Linked DNA regions of Caenorhabditis elegans. The protein of the gene in region 2 purifies or fractionates together with the protein of the main gene of each other region. This does not show direct contact. Each region holds a gene or a part of one and is shown on either strand. Other genes may lie near its edges.

Region 1 (5,064 bases), on a different chromosome or scaffold from region 2:
ACACACAGCAGTGACGTCATTTTCGACACGAGTCACTCGCGGCACTAGAGAGACTCTAAAGATTAAAATAAATTTTCAGTAGTACGGTAAAACCCAAACGTGGCAATATAATATGAATAAAACCCAAAGTACGCATAATTTGAAAAGTGTGCGTGGGGTAATAGAGAGAATAGAGAAGCTGTCCTTTTTCTCTTGAAAAAGAGCAAGTCCTCTTTTCTACATCGTCCTTTTTCTTCATCTTCTTCCAGTTTGTCTATCTTTTCTGCGTCTCTTCACTCTCAACTCCCCCCACTTTGTCGACCACGGGGTATCCCCGTTGGTCTTGTGAAAGTGAGATAGTATTGTGAATCGAGATATCACTAGAGAAACTGAAAAGAACCCCACGCGAGGCACAGAGAAACTTCTCCGGACACTCTTTGCTTTTTATTGTCTCTAGCCGTTTCTCTGCGTCTCCAGGGTTCCGGTGTATTCTATGAGGTGTGTGCTGGCTCTATGCCAAGTCAAGGAATCGAAAAAGCTTTTGAATTCCAAATTTCTAGTAATTTATCATTCAAAAAGGTGAAAAGTAAATAAGGAAAGTTCAGAAAACCAAGAACAAAAATACAAGTAAACAATAAAAATATAAAAACCCTTTATTTTCGCATTAAATTTTCTCTCGGATCGATTCTTCCTCTACTTACTATAAAATAAAAATATGAATACAAAAAAGAATTAACACATAATAAAAGGCGAACCGATTTGTGATTGAAGAATCAAATCGAAAACAGAAAATCGAAGACGACGACGACAAAAATCTACGAAATCTACTGAAAAAAAACAGCTTGGAGCGATGAGAATAAGAGATGGATTTAGTGATGATGGTGCACATAATCCGGATCGTATGAATCCGAATCCAAATCCAGCGATGTCTCGTGAGATGTCAAATCATCATAGTATGCCTCTCGGAAGTAGTATTCATACCTGAACAATAGAAAAATGTTAATTCGAAAAAAGAATTTTTTATAAAATTGAAAGTTTAGCTATACGGATTTTTAAAAAGTACAGCTTTAAAAAAAATCTTATGCTGTTGCTTTTGAACTTTTTAAAATGCAAATAACATAAATAAGAATTCAAAGGTGGAGACTATTCGAATTTTTGCTTCAAATGGTAGAAAATAGACCGTAATGTCCGAATATCATATATTCATGATTCATTTATGTGGTAATTCAAAAATAATTTTTAACATTTTTGAAAATTGAAAAAATTTATAATTTTTTTGTTTTCGGTATTTTCGGTTCATTTTCTATTACTTAAAGCAAATTTTCAAATTGACTCTACTCCACCTTCAAGTTAAATTTCAAATATTGAAAACAACTTACCATGGTTCTGGAAGATGGTGTCCAGTGTGCCATGCATTGAGTCCTGCTTGATGATCACCATTCTTGGCAATATATCCATAGCCATATGGTGACTTGAGAACCTCTTTACGCATTACGTGAAGGAAGTGTCCAGTATCACGTGGATTTGTGTACAGCTCTCCAACTTCGTGTTTTGGAATTCCATCGAATGCAAGCATACGGGCATCGTATTTATTGGTGACACTAGAAGATATTATATATTATACAATGTGGATGAAACTTTTAAAATTCAATTAAAATACTTTCTCAATGTTATATCAGGGCTGTAGATTTTTACGATATTCGTAAATCGTTTTTTTCGTGGTTTTTACAAAAATCCATTTTTTGCATTTTTTTTTCAAAAAAAAAACCGAAAAATTCTGTTACCCTGTCGCTGACTGAAAAACACATACTTGTTTGTTTTTAATTTATGTCTTTCAGTATATCAAAATTAAAAATTGTGTTTTTTTGCTCTTTTTTTTGAATAAAGCGAAATACATTTTTTTTGCTAAAAACACAAAAAAAACCAAAAATCTTTTGCCTTGATGGGGACACAATTTCGCAGAAATCATTTTCTGTCCATGTTTGCAAAATTTAAAAATAAAAAAAAAACAAGTTTTGGCCAGTTTCAATTCCTAGAATGTTAAATTTCCTAAAAATTTTGATGGCTTTTTTGTTGGTATTTTCAATAAATTAATCGTTTCGTTTTATCAATGAAAATGTATGATCTCGAATATATTTCTCAAAAAAAAAACTCACTATTGTCTCCATCCATTCCATCCAACTGAATCAACAATTGTATTCCACTCTTCCATAACATCACCACTGTGCCATTCAAAGAAGTCCAAGTCAAGTCGTTCGATATCCTTTAAAAATTATGTTTTTTTTCTTTTAAGAATTTCGAACTTTTCCTTACCTCAACAACAGCATCCGTGTCTCCTGGTTTTGTCCAGTCATAGGCAAGAATCTTCGAGTGATTACGGTATTCACGAAGTGAATCCTTGTAAGACTCCTCAATTGTTTTTAAGTAACGCTCGTCAACTGTTGCAATTTCGTCTGTCTGAAAATTAATAAAATTTTGAATATCTTTATGAGAAATCTAGCTTACGTTTCCTCGTCTCTTGATATTTTCAAGGCATTTATTGGTTGGTGTATTCAAATAAACAACCAAATGAGGCCAGAAATGTAGTTGAGGAAGAGCATTTTTACGGACAAAGTAATAATGCTTGAAGTCTAGAAACAATTATTTTGAAAGAAAATTCATGAATACAATAAACGTACATTCATGTCCAATATAATTCTTATCTCTCATTGCATTGGCAAAAACGAAATCCGAATGTGGAGTACGTTCGAGCACAACTCCTTGACCGGTATTGAGAATATGAGCAAGTGCGTTGAGATATTGATCGAAACGGCAGTTGAAAATGCGATCTTGCATGGCAGCTGAGAGTTCACCACTTGGATTCTTATAGAACATGGAAATGTCTGGAAGACGGTAACGAGCTGGGAACTGGAATAATATTACATTTAAGAGTTAGGTTGAATTATTATTTACTTTATTATAATAATTGCGAAGATCATTTCCGTAGCGATCGACGAGAATATCGTCCATTCTAAATTCTGGGAAATGAACGAAGCCGAGTTGATCAGCAAGTTGTTTGGCTAAAGTTGTCTTTCCGGATCCAATATTTCCTTCAACAACGATAAGCTTGGAATTTTGATGGAAATGAGAACGAGTGTCGTCTTTTAATCCATCAATATAATTGAATCCATTGTGCTTATAGTCCCATGGTTCTGGATGTTCAGATGGAAGTCTTAGAAGACTTTTATGAACAACTCCTCTGACTTGATTTGAGAGTGCTCCTGATCTGGAGCAGGCCAGCAAACCGGTTGCCAGCCCTCCCAATTTGCTCATGGAACCCGGCATGATGGTCTTAACAAGGAACAAGATAATAAGATTAAATTGGAAAATGAACAAAATAAAATATTAGAATAGGTTTGAAAACCATTAGAAATAAATTATTCTACAGAAAATATTGCAATTGAAGCTTTATTAGAATCTGCCCTCGAATAGTTGAACTTCTGAGCAGAAAAAAGTCAATAACTTAAAAATATAAATTAGAAGATACCGTTCAGGTTTGAAAAAGTGTTTAGGAATACAAAATGATTTGAGAGGACGAGATAGAAAGCAGAAGGAAAAATCGGTAAATTTCAGATCGAAGGATACAAAACAAACATAAAAGCGAGGAAAATCCACAAGGCCTTTGGTTTCAGAATCAACGGCGATCACCATATCGACCTCCACCACCACCTCCGCTACTTCCACCACCGCTTCGATATCCACCACCGGATCCTCCACCTGTACTGTATCGGCTTCCTCCACGGTCACCTCCTCTATCACCTCCTCTATCACGATCACCTCCGTATCCACCACCACCACTTCGATCATTGAAACGATCACGGCCTCTGAAAATATTAATTAAAACAAGTGAAGAAAAATACAAATAAGATGTCGAAATCTTATAAAAACTAACCCTCCACCGAATCCGCCACCTCCACCGCGATTATCTCTAAATCCGCCCGATGATTCTCGTCGATCACGATCATTTCCTCCACCATTACGGTAAGAATCTTGACGTCTATCCCGACTACCACTTCTTTCTCTATCTCGATCCTCGTACCCACCTCCAAATCCAGACGCAATTTCACGTTCTTCAATGACTGATTTAGCTTCGCGAGTTTTACGAGTATCTCCTTTTCCACCGCCAAGTCTTCTAGGCAACCATGTCTTCTGAGTACGACCTCTTTCATAGTCGACAACTAGACGTTTACCATCAACTTTGATTCCGTCAGCTTTTTTGTAAGCGGCTGAAAATAATACTCGAATATTATGTTCAATAAGGAATAAGGTGAGAGAATACGGATTTGTGTGTCTACTCAATAAATATCTTACCTAACCTACCAAAAAAGCGCTCACAGGCCTCCATGTCATTCGCGGAATTGACTACTTACCCAACCACTTACCCGCGATTCAGAAAATGTGTTAGACTTCAAACTTACAGACAAAACTTACGGGAAAACTTACAAAAAGCGGCAAGAAACTTACAAAAATAATCCCAAGATGATTTTTTTGATGTTTGTGAGGAAAACTTACAAAGCGTGTACCTTACCCATTCAAAAAATAAAAAAATAAATCTGAATTCTTGGATTTTTTCCTAATCTAGTAGCCTAAATGAAATTCAAAGACCTAGTACTAAAAAAAGAGTTTATATCAGAAATTTTCAGCTTAACAAATTAATAAAGTTTTTAAATGCGATAATATGCCTAAAACCTTTTTAGCAAGCGTGCAATTTTAAATAATGTTTTTTTTCTTGGAAAGACTCGTTTCTTAAAATGCTAATTCCTTTTTTTTTTAATTTCTTGTTTTTTATTTGAGCTCACCAACAAACAAACCTATCAGAAATTAATCGATAGGAGAGTTGCGCGCTCTGCCATTCCCATTCATTTCCCAGGATTTCACAATGGCCGCGTGGCTGTAAAAATTACAAAAATAGGAGCGTGTTCCTTGAAAATTGGTTTTTAAAATAAAATTTCTGTTGTTTTTTTGAGCAAAAGGTTCAGCCAATGATTTTTTGTTTTATGACAAACAAACTGCAACCCACTATGCATCTCAGCCTTGTCACTGTAT
Region 2 (3,056 bases):
TTTTTGAGTAATCTTATTATGAAATTTAAGTAATTCAAAACCATTTTGAGTCTATTAAAACGAAAACAATTTTATCCGTTTCTCATCAGTTAAAAATTGAAATATATAATATTTAATTGATATTTGCCTACTTAGGAGTATTTAATTCAAAGAAATCAAGATTTTCAGTTTATTTTTTTTTGTTTTTCTGAACAAAACATACCGATTTCTGGAAGCTGGCAATTGTCCATCTCCAGAATCATCTCCAACTAATAACTGCTGACTATCGGTTGTTTCGCTTCGGGAAAGTAGGGAAAATCCTCTGAAACTTCAAACTTTATACATTTCTTCTAAGTGAAATTTGTTACCCAATAGACGTTGGAAGCTTGTTGCGAAGTGAATCAAATGAAGAAAATGAAGCTGAACTGCTGATACCACTTCCTTTCTTCTTCTGATCATTTATGAACTGCTCTAGAGCAGACATGCCCTTTAAATTGTTGTTGTAAAACATTTATTGACATCGTTATCATAGAAACCTTTCTGGCAGAATACCAATTTTCAACGAGGGTGAATTGCGATTTTAAAAATGAATGATTTATTGGAGTTTAAGAAACTACATACACAAAAAGAAAACTTTTAAACTAAAAAAAAAGAAATCGGCTCGAGATTTGAAACAGATAATTCTAATGATGACCATCCCATGAGGTGGTTCCGTGAGTCTTGTATTGGTAAGCTTCTTCAACGAAAATCAAGGCAGCTGTGAATGCAACTCCAGCTTTCCATCCAGGAAGAATCAACTGAAATTTATTAAATAATTTTAAAAAATTCCCTAAATACATTAATATAATTTTTGGAAAATCGGCTTGCTCGGAAATTTTCCAAACAAGAGCACATTTATAGGATACAATCCATAAAAATTTTTTAATATTATGTTGGTATTATATTAATAATATTTAATTCATCTCGAAGAAAACACGAACCTTCTTGAAATGAGCCCATTGTCCAACAACGTGTGGATACTTTCGATCGTACAAGTAGACGTAGTTTCTGAAAGAAAAATCAATAATATATTTATTAATATTATCGATAAAAAACCGACCTGATCCATGGATCCTTCAATCCGATTTGAGCGAGTCGTTTTTCATGCTGCGCCAACTGTGGAAAATCGCGAAAATTGCTGTAGATTGAGTAGTTTGGGATCTTAAACGGCTCGTGATGTCCTCCACCCATTCTGGAATTAAAATAATTGAAAAAAAATGTTTTAGAAACCTGTATTATGAAAATAAATGAAGAGAACGATAAAATCAGAAAGAAATGCCAGCCGAGTTTGTGTAGATTTACGCGGTGTGTAAGCGTGCGGCAGTTGCGTTTTCCGTCAGAGCGCAACTGCGGCACACTTTTCTCAATCAATTGTCAGGAGATTTTGGCTTGTTCCAACGCACCACTTTTGTTTTGGCTGTATTTTCAGATTCTCAACATTTTTTCTGCTTTTTTAATAAAGGAAAACTTTAACCATGTCGAAACGTAATCAAAAAGTGAGTTTTTATTCGGAAAAATCAATATTAACTAGAAAAGAACGATGTTTTAATTCAAATTTCAGGGCGTATCTACGGAAGATGCCGTAAAAATGACGAAGGAGCAAGAAGACATTGCCAAATACATCAGATTCAATTGTCCGACAGCCACGACCATGTTTGAAGGAAACGAAGTTCATTATTTCAGTGGTATGTACAAATTTCAATTGTTTATATTAATATCGCATATATTTTCAGGAAATAAAGCTGTCGATACTCTTTGGGAATCCAAGTACGGAAATAAAGCAAAGAAAGATGCAATGTTTAAAACAAGGTGGGCATTCTGTAGAAATTACGTAAATTTAAATAGATTCTAAATTTTCAGAGATGATTGCTTCCATTATATTTGCGAACTCAACTCGAAACAATTATTCTTCCGTGCAAAAAAATTAGTAGCAAAGAAAAAAGAGAATAAAGATAAAGGAAACGATTCTTCTGGTAATCATAAAACTTAAAAAATATCTTAAAACACGTTTTTTTCAGCTGAAGTTACCAAATCTCCAAAAGGTGTAGTTGAAAAGAGAAATAAAAAAGCCAAAGAAGAAGAAACAGCAACCGAAGCTGAAGGTGATGAGAAAGAAGTGAAAAAAGACGAAAAGAAAGACGAAGAAAAAAAGAAAAAGAAGGTGAAGCTTCTTGTACATGAAGTTCAAGCATTCGTCGATGACAAAGATGTCTACGTTTGGGTATTCGATCCAACTCCTCTCATGAAAAAGATTATTGGAGTACTTATGCGTAAGTTTTCCCTTTTTGATTTGTTATTTCCTGCTTTAGAAATGATTCAATGTGTAAAATTAAAATCCAATTAATATATTTCAGTCGTCGGTACAATTGTCGGATGCTTGTTCCCTCTATGGCCTGTATGGCTTCGCCAAGGAGTTTATTACGTATCAATTACTGGAATTGGATGTTTTGCAGCTATCATTGTCACTGCTATACGTGAGTTGTTTCAACAATAATATTCATTTTTCGATTATTTTCAGTCCGTACTATTCTTTTCGGAATTATCTACGCTGTTACTTTCGGAAAACACAAACTCTGGGTTCTGCCGAACTTGACTGAAGACTGTGGAGTTCTTGAATCATTCCAACCATGGTATACTTATGAGTATGTTGGTGATGAGAAGAAAGAAGCTAAGAAAGATAAGAAAGATAAAAAGTCGAAAAAAGAAAAGGATTCTGATGCAGAAGAGGAGGAGCAAGACCACATTGCTGCTGAACAGGAGCAAAAAGAGGAAGAAGACGATGATGCTGAAAAAAATAGTCAGGCATCAACTGATGATAATTATGAAAAAATTGAAGACGAGGTAATCTGATAAGTGTTTCAATTTAAATAATTATAATTTTGAAATTTAGGAAATCTCTGCTCCACCATCACCAAGTGACGATGCTCCTCGAAAACGTCGTCCAGCTAAAGTCTAGAAATTTAGTTTATCCTGAAATTTTTCCATTCCACATTTCTGCATTTATGAAAACTTGTCCTGAAAATCTATTGCATTACCCT
Region 3 (3,726 bases), on a different chromosome or scaffold from region 2:
CTAGGGGATGCGTTTGCTGCTTCAATGGTTCAGCATTTATTGCAGGTTTGATAGAAAACTCGAACTTGGAGACAATTGTATATTTTAAGAAAAAGCTGGATCAAGCAGACGCTCGTCACGATTATAAGACTGAACTGAAAGGAGAAATTGAACTATTGAAGTCAGCTGCCACCAGTAGAAGACCATCATTCACAATGTCAGAAGCTTCTAAGGAGCTCTTCTTGACACACGCGAACACAGCTGGAAACTCAAGAATTGGATCACGAATTGGCTCTCGTCGTCCTTCATCCACCAACTTGCATCTTTCCTGGCGTAATAATAACATTGAACCACCATACACACCTCTGCCCAACGATGAAAACGTGTAGTTCCATGATCAATATTTACATTTTTTGTCCATGTCACTTTTCCATTCCAAAACAGAAAACGGTTATTCTCTCCTCTTTCCGCGAGAACCCATGGATTGTTTTGTACATATCATTTTTACTATTTTAAGCCACTGATGAAACTCAATAATTTATGTTTGTAAAATTTAGCAGAAAAGTAAATAGCGCATGACATTTCTTTTTTTTCGAAGTTTAGAGAACATAAATCGACATTGAAAAATCAACGGTTGAGGACTAAAAGAATTTTAAGAACGCTATTGATGGGAGAATGGAAGTGATCGGAAGATCTAGTTGGATGGATCGAATTCGAGTCCAAGTCCGAACTTGTGAGCATCATTGGCAGCAAGGTTGAATTGAGTGGAAAGTGTCAGCTTAAGAGCTGGAGACAAGGAGTGTGTGGCAGCAACGGCAACTTGGGAAGAGCTGTTGACCTTGGCGCGGACAGTAAGGTCACGGCTTGGAGCATACTTGGTGGCGAGAGCGTAGTCAGCTCCGTTTCCACCAACCTGAAAATTCACTTTAGTTTTGGTTCTAGGATTTTAAAAAGTTTACCTTCCATCCGAGTTGAGTTCCAACCTCGACGTTGGAGGCAACCTTGTGGTAAAGGGAAGCTCCGAAGTCGGTTGAGTTAATAACGAAAGAGTGGAGGGTGTATTGTGGAGTGGAGTGTCCGAAAGCCAAAGAAGTGGCTGCCAACTTATTCGATGAAGAATCGAAGGTGGCGGCAGCTCCGATGAGCCATCCGTCACGGGAGAAGACTCCGGCAGCGTTGATAACTGGAGCAGAGGTGACTCCAACATCAGCGGTAACCTGTAAATGGCTAATTTGTTTCATTTCACAAAGATGGATTTTTGAAATCTCTATTTCTACATTCAGAAAATCGAACCCTGAAACAATCATGCTTCCAGTCAAGCTTGAGACGAGCTTCGCCAATCTTATCACCCAAAATATGTACAAGACTACTCACTCTAGCAGTTGGGAGAGCCCAGTCGAGCTTCACTTTTCCGCTTCTCTTTCCGGCGTGTGGGGCATAAAGAGAATCGAGAGTGACCTTGAGTCCACGTCCGAATTGCTCATTAACTTCGATAACAGTTCCGAGCTGGTTCTCGGTGTTCCATTTCTCGGTCAAAGTGATTCCTGAAAACGAAACAACATGATTGATATCTCTCACACAATATGTTGTATTTTTGTTGAGCGGTCGCTAGACGTCACGTGGTGTTTTAGAGTACATACAATTGCATCACCTGCGTCACGAGGTTGTCCCCATCTAGCGGGTAGACAATAAGATGTTCAGACGAGCTTACCGTATTGTGGGATCTTGTACTTGACATCGAGATTTCCTCCAAGCTTTCCGGATCCGATATTGTGAGAAGCGGCTGATTTGAACTCAACCTCCTTGTTGTCTCCAGCTCTAGTGGTGGAGTCGATCTTGAGGAATCCAAAGTCTGGAAAAAAATTAATCAGGCGAATAAATGACCTAACACTATTCCTCTCTACAAAGATAAAATTGAAACTTACTGTATCCTTTGTTGAAGAGGTCCTTGGCGGACTTTCCAAGATCAGCGAAGGTTGGTGGGGCCATTTTCTAAACACAAAATATTTTTTGAAACATGCATTCTAGAGTTACACGAGAGAAGGAAAATAGGAAATTTTCGAAAAATGAAGGCTTTGAAAATGTTTGCATTGAGCAGTGCATACGAGAAAAACGGAAAGAAAGAGATAAACCAACTCAATGGCAGCAGTAGGAAGTCGATAAACAATGCGCCAGAAAACACAACATCGCCAAAAAATATATTCAGGGTTTCAGTTAAATGATTTACAATTATCTTATCGGGAAATTCAGAAGCAAACATTTGTAACATAAAACTCCGACGGTATCGAAAACATTGAATGCGATAGAGAAAGGACAGATCACGCCACAACAGCAAATTGAGAGTTCAAAGGCAAGCACATTGGCGCGGCGACCGCCCGTCTCGAGACATAGGACGAAAATGAGAGGCACAGAGACTGGTTACTGCAGCGCGACCGCTCCGCTTCCAAAAGTACTGGATTATTTTGGCAGTTTTTCAAAATTGAATGATGCACTGAGAAGAAAAGATTTGATGCAATGAAAGAAATATTGACTAACGAAACAAAATGAAATTAGCAAGAAATCTCAAATTTAGCGTTAAACCAGGAAATGGTACCGGAAATTGAGCACAAATCCAAATAGTTTCCGCATCACCTGGTTCAGCGAATTCAGTTCACTTCTGTCACTTGCATCTAACCTATTCGAAATGTACCGCTCGGAAGTCTCTAAGCCACAACTGGAAAATCCAAACCTAGTCGATAGAATAATTGTAATTATTCTGCCGAACTATTTCTATGAATATGAATCCGTACTGAAGCACATAACAAAAGAAAACTTCGGGATTATAGAGGTAAGTTGTATATATGAAAATTAAAGAAGAAGAAACTGATTATTTAGAAAACTGTGAAGCATTTTAAAACTGAAGAAGTCATGGAGTGGAAAAGTGCTGATCTTGAATCCCAAGATATCTGGAACTTATCAGACAGGCTAATAGACGGACCATGCATGTTACTATTGTGTCAACGAGCGAATGCTTTTATTGAGATGAAAGAAGTGGCCAAATATCACAATGTGATCGCTAAGAGGTGAGCAAAGACCAACAAACATCCGAAAATACTGAAAAACAATGGAAGAAAAACATTGCGCACAGTTGAAAATAACCGTTACCGTAGTCTCGTTTCGGTACGAAACCTTCACACTTTTGGAGGTTTTTCAAAAAATCTATCCGAAGAGTTTTAAAACTTCACAAGCGTTTAATTCAGAATGAGTTCAAGTGATGGAATATATTATTCAAAAACGACAATTGCCGCCTATCACGATATAATTTTCTTTTTCCCCAAGTGTAAGATTCCATAAAGTTAGAATTTTGACTCTCCCATAAAAATATATTCAGACATTGACGAAAGAGCAATGCTGAAACATGCCAAGGATTATCTCTCAGTAGAAGTATGGCCGAAACTGAGCCAGGGACTGGCTCGCGTAGCAGTTGAGAGACCGGATAATCCAATTGTTTGTTTTCGAATACACCATTTAGTAACATGATTTTTTTGACTCTTTCAGAAATGGCTCGCAGATTATCTACACCAACTACGCCAATAAGTTTATGTTTCTAAAAAATAATATAGTGTAAATACCCATAAACCAATAAAACAATAAATTTTTTAAAAATATGCATTAAAAATTAACTACAAAACTATGCGAAAGAAAGGGCAGTAGAACATATATTACATGTAATCAGATAACACACAGGTAGTGATAAAAACGGCTTTG
Region 4 (3,621 bases), on a different chromosome or scaffold from region 2:
TTTATAGAAAGAATTGGAAACATCAATAAAAAAATCCGGCAGAAATCACAGTTTTTAATTACAGTACTCTTTAAAAGCGCACACCTTTTCTCATTCAACAAAAATTGTCGTGTCGAGACCGGCTACCGTATTTTTGTTGATAAATCGCAAATTTCGCGTTTTACCTCATATCTTCCCGTCTTGTTTTCCTTGATCTTTCTGTAGAAGAAATTAAGAAACTGAATATCTGAAATTTCGATTTGTTAACAGTTTTTCCTGTAAAATAAACCTTTATAAGCCGCTGTAAAATTCTTCATTCTCGAATCGTCCAGAAATAGGAAACCATTGTGGCTCACATAGTAAAAATATTCTCTGAAAACTCAAATTCAAAAAGAAACAATTAATTTAAAAATAAAACCTTATTTTTCCGTTATACTGCCCCTGTGTGTAGAGACTTCGTGCAAATGTCAGTATCATTTCCGAAACTTAAAAAAGTTAAATTTTGATTTAAATTAATTTGAAAAGAAAAGCTGACTGGTAATATTTCCGTTTCTCATAAATTCATATTCAAATCTTTATAAATCAATCAAACAATCTACATTTATTCACTTTCTGAATGGAATAAAAGAACGCAACATGAAAAAGAAAAAAAAGTTGTTACGACGGAATAAGAAAACTCAACACAATTCGTTCTAAAAAATTTCATTGAAAAAGAAAAGATTGACAGCGTAGAATTAGAAGAGACGGAAGTCGGACTTCTTTCCTTGATCCTTGTCGAATTCTGGGTCTTGTGAGACCTGAAAATATAAAATTTTAATTTTCGATCCAGGATTCTCTCGTAGCTTCTTTTTTAAAATTAAATCTTGAAAGAATATTTACCTTCTTGTAGTATTCCCAATCCTTGGACAATGGCTTGTCACCCTCGAGTGCTGACTTGCTCATTTGGAACTCATATGGTGGCTCATAGTTCTTCTTGTCTTGATAGAACATTCCCTTCTTCCAGAATGAATAGTCAAACTCTCCATTAGCAAGTCGTGCTTTATGATCAGCAAGCTTAGCTGCACGCTCATCCATAATCTCTGGATGACGTCGTTCCCAGATCATTCGATGCTTCTGCTTCATATAAGCATCACGAACATCGGATTCTCCTCCCAACTCTCCGTATTTCATGAAGAAATTCAACTCATTCTCTTCCATATCCTCAATAACCTTGGCACATGGTGAATGATCAGGATTGTTGTAAAGCATACACCGATCAACACGTTGGCGGAGGGTTTGCAGAATAAATCCATCGACCATTTTATCAAGACGGTACTGCTCATTGGCTTCGTAGAAGCAGGCCTTGTCGTTCACTCCGCATTCGTCGATTTCCGGAACACGTGTAAGTTGACGGTGATAGTAGGGTAGACGGTTCTTGTTGTTGAGTGGTTGCACAATAGTCTCTGAAAAGCTGACGAGTTAGTAGAATAGATTAAAATGGATTGTTTTGCCTAGTTGATTTATTATGTGGAACTGCAACTACTAACTGTACATCAGCTTGAGGTAGTCGAATAACTTTGGTTTTTTTCTAGTTTAAAATTATAATTTACAGCAATGATATGGGAATTAGAAATTAACCTTTACTTGCACCACAAGTTCCCAAATTTTTTGAATCTGGATAAAACCGTAGACAGTATCAATTACTTGGAATTAAAACAAATGGTGAAAGTAAATAAACTTGAACGAAATTTGTTTTCTGTCAATTCTTACATTTTGTAAATGGTTTTAAATCTAATTTCAAAGCTGCTTCTTCTTTAAATGATTCTCCAACTTGAGAATTTTAAAAATTACCTCTGAACCAAGTTGCTGGGGCGTCGAAAGCCTTATGGGCATAATAACGGAATCGTGGGTAGATGGATCCTCGTGAATCGATATCACGAACTTTCCAGTAAGCATCCCAAGATGCTTTATCGTCAGCTTGACGTTGCTCCACTAAGCCTTCACCCATACTGAATGTCGAAAATTTTCCATTGTGAATTGAGAATATTGAGTAATAAATATTAAAACAACGAAGAAACGTTGAAAATTGAAATATTACATAGAACAAGACGATAAATTAAATTTTTAAAAAGTTCAACAACAAAAGGAAAAAAAAATCAACAATAGCAGGAATTACACTGAAAAATTAAAAATTGAGATAAAGATTCTTAATCACTGACAGATCGTGTGTAATTATTCTGAACCAGGGTGATAAGCTCATCTTCGTCAGTGATAAACTCTGATTTATTGATAATATCGTGAATCTTGATAATATCATCAGAAGTCGAAGCACTAATCCAGATTCTTCCGTTCATTCCAACAGTGATTTCGAATTTGAAGAACTTGCCAACAGTTTGAAGAATTTTGCAAGATGGGTTGATTAGTCGACGACAATGATTCAAGGAGACCTATAATAATTTTTAAATTTTACAATAAATAGTAAATTTCGTGTCTAACTTTGAACATGAATCCTCCATTTAGCTGTCCCATTCCACGTGCTCGTTTCTCGTCATCCACACAGGTAAGCTCTGCTTCAGTTCTTGGAGTTGTGTCGAAAACTGTTGCATAAATAATATCTCCAGTTTTTAGATTCGGCCTATTCCTTTTAGTAGCACCTTCGAAGTTAGTAAAGTTGATCATGGCGTATTCGGCAGTTCCTATGTCCAAACGAAAGAAATCACCAGTTTTTGAAGTGACAATAGCGATTACTCGGTCTCCTTCCTGTGGTATATATCTGAATTTAAGAAAAATTGTGATTTTAAATGTTGTTCGTGATCATTCTTACCTTTTGCTGTGAACATTTAACCAGACTTTTCCATCATCGTTGTGGAAAGCTCCAGGTTGAGTGGCAATTCTCGTTTGGCCACGTACACTAATTCCGTAGCCAATGATTGAGGAATCGCTTGAAGAAGGTTCATTGATAACGTCGCCAGGGAGATATACGGTCATTTCTGAAAATTGAATACTCAATGATGAACAAAATAACGTTTTAAAAAGTAGTGGCGAATAGAAAAACCAAATTTAAATACCGCAGGAGGAATAACGTAATAAGCTACGTTAATAAAGTGTTTTCAATGAGTATATTAACTGAAAATTGTAAATTTTTGCAATAAAATTAATCAAAAAGTGATAATATTTCGCAAAATAAACGGAAAAACTAGAAAAATAAGAAATAAAAATGGAGCGGCTGTTGAAAGTCTGCGACTTGACGTGACGGTGTTTGCGGTGTTGTATACCGTACCCATTGATTTTTATTTGATATGTTGGAAATTGCAATTAATATTAATTGTCAAGGACTAAAAGAAAAATAACACTGAAAACATAAATGCGTGGCAATTTTTTAAAATAAATATCGACACGTACACCGAGAAAAATTTAGTTTCAAATACAGTTCAACTGAGTTTTTAGTGGTCAAACTGGTTTGTAAATGGTATGTAATATAGTTAGGTTTTTTGAAGTTAAAGTTTTCCCATTCAGCTAGTTGTTGTTCTTTCCGGTATTATTGCCACGTGTCTGGCCGTGAAGCAGACAGATTTTTCCGTGCATATCAAAGGACAACTTGTGTGTGATGATGTCCCTGCTGCCAACATGCCAATGGACATTTTTTCTGAAGCACAAATGTGT

The links.
Region 1: the proteins of ndub-3 (region 2) and nuo-4 fractionate together in Caenorhabditis elegans (co-fractionation; one large-scale study listed by BioGRID). This does not show direct contact.
Region 3: the proteins of ndub-3 (region 2) and vdac-1 fractionate together in Caenorhabditis elegans (co-fractionation; one large-scale study listed by BioGRID). This does not show direct contact.
Region 4: the proteins of ndub-3 (region 2) and ndub-10 fractionate together in Caenorhabditis elegans (co-fractionation; one large-scale study listed by BioGRID). This does not show direct contact.

Annotation. Positions count from the first base shown.
Region 1 is NC_003281.10:7,155,501-7,160,564, forward strand, and holds nuo-4 (NADH dehydrogenase [ubiquinone] 1 alpha subcomplex subunit 10, mitochondrial), read right to left. Parts: upstream 3,310-5,064; 5' UTR 3,304-3,309; coding exon 2,932-3,303; intron 2,887-2,931; coding exon 2,658-2,886; intron 2,610-2,657; coding exon 2,485-2,609; intron 2,437-2,484; coding exon 2,293-2,436; intron 2,243-2,292; coding exon 2,136-2,242; intron 1,581-2,135; coding exon 1,359-1,580; intron 961-1,358; coding exon 849-960; 3' UTR 526-848; downstream 1-525. Other genes in the region: rnp-7 (U1 small nuclear ribonucleoprotein 70 kDa), read right to left, coding at 3,653-3,842, 3,911-4,244, 5,039-5,064.
Region 2 is NC_003280.10:8,963,681-8,966,736, forward strand, and holds ndub-3 (NADH dehydrogenase [ubiquinone] 1 beta subcomplex subunit 3), read right to left. Parts: upstream 1,211-3,056; 5' UTR 1,210-1,210; coding exon 1,079-1,209; intron 1,027-1,078; coding exon 960-1,026; intron 777-959; coding exon 663-776; 3' UTR 562-662; downstream 1-561. Other genes in the region: sftd-3 (Vesicle transport protein), read right to left, coding at 203-301, 348-463; sec-62 (Translocation protein SEC62), read left to right, coding at 1,494-1,514, 1,580-1,703, 1,752-1,827, 1,879-1,991, 2,037-2,288, 2,373-2,492, 2,537-2,859, 2,909-2,974.
Region 3 is NC_003282.8:7,505,921-7,509,646, forward strand, and holds vdac-1 (putative voltage-dependent anion-selective channel), read right to left. Parts: upstream 1,972-3,726; 5' UTR 1,969-1,971; coding exon 1,905-1,968; intron 1,832-1,904; coding exon 1,691-1,831; intron 1,524-1,690; coding exon 1,354-1,523; intron 1,197-1,353; coding exon 939-1,196; intron 893-938; coding exon 674-892; 3' UTR 501-673; downstream 1-500. Other genes in the region: Putative sodium-dependent excitatory amino acid transporter glt-6, read left to right, coding at 1-45, 90-368; R05G6.5 (Uroporphyrinogen-III synthase), read left to right, coding at 2,663-2,806, 2,854-3,041, 3,219-3,298, 3,350-3,465, 3,517-3,555. UniProt on the Caenorhabditis elegans protein: Forms a channel through the cell membrane that allows diffusion of small hydrophilic molecules. Plays a role in maintaining mitochondrial morphology.
Region 4 is NC_003279.8:10,517,706-10,521,326, reverse strand, and holds ndub-10 (NADH dehydrogenase [ubiquinone] 1 beta subcomplex subunit 10), read right to left. Parts: upstream 1,968-3,621; 5' UTR 1,967-1,967; coding exon 1,810-1,966; intron 1,422-1,809; coding exon 859-1,421; intron 777-858; coding exon 714-776; 3' UTR 566-713; downstream 1-565. Other genes in the region: UPF0598 protein F59C6.12, read right to left, coding at 165-226, 269-351, 398-456; exos-3 (Exosome complex component RRP40), read right to left, coding at 2,166-2,405, 2,455-2,731, 2,783-2,946; nlp-4 (Transthyretin-like family protein), read left to right, coding at 3,425-3,427, 3,475-3,619.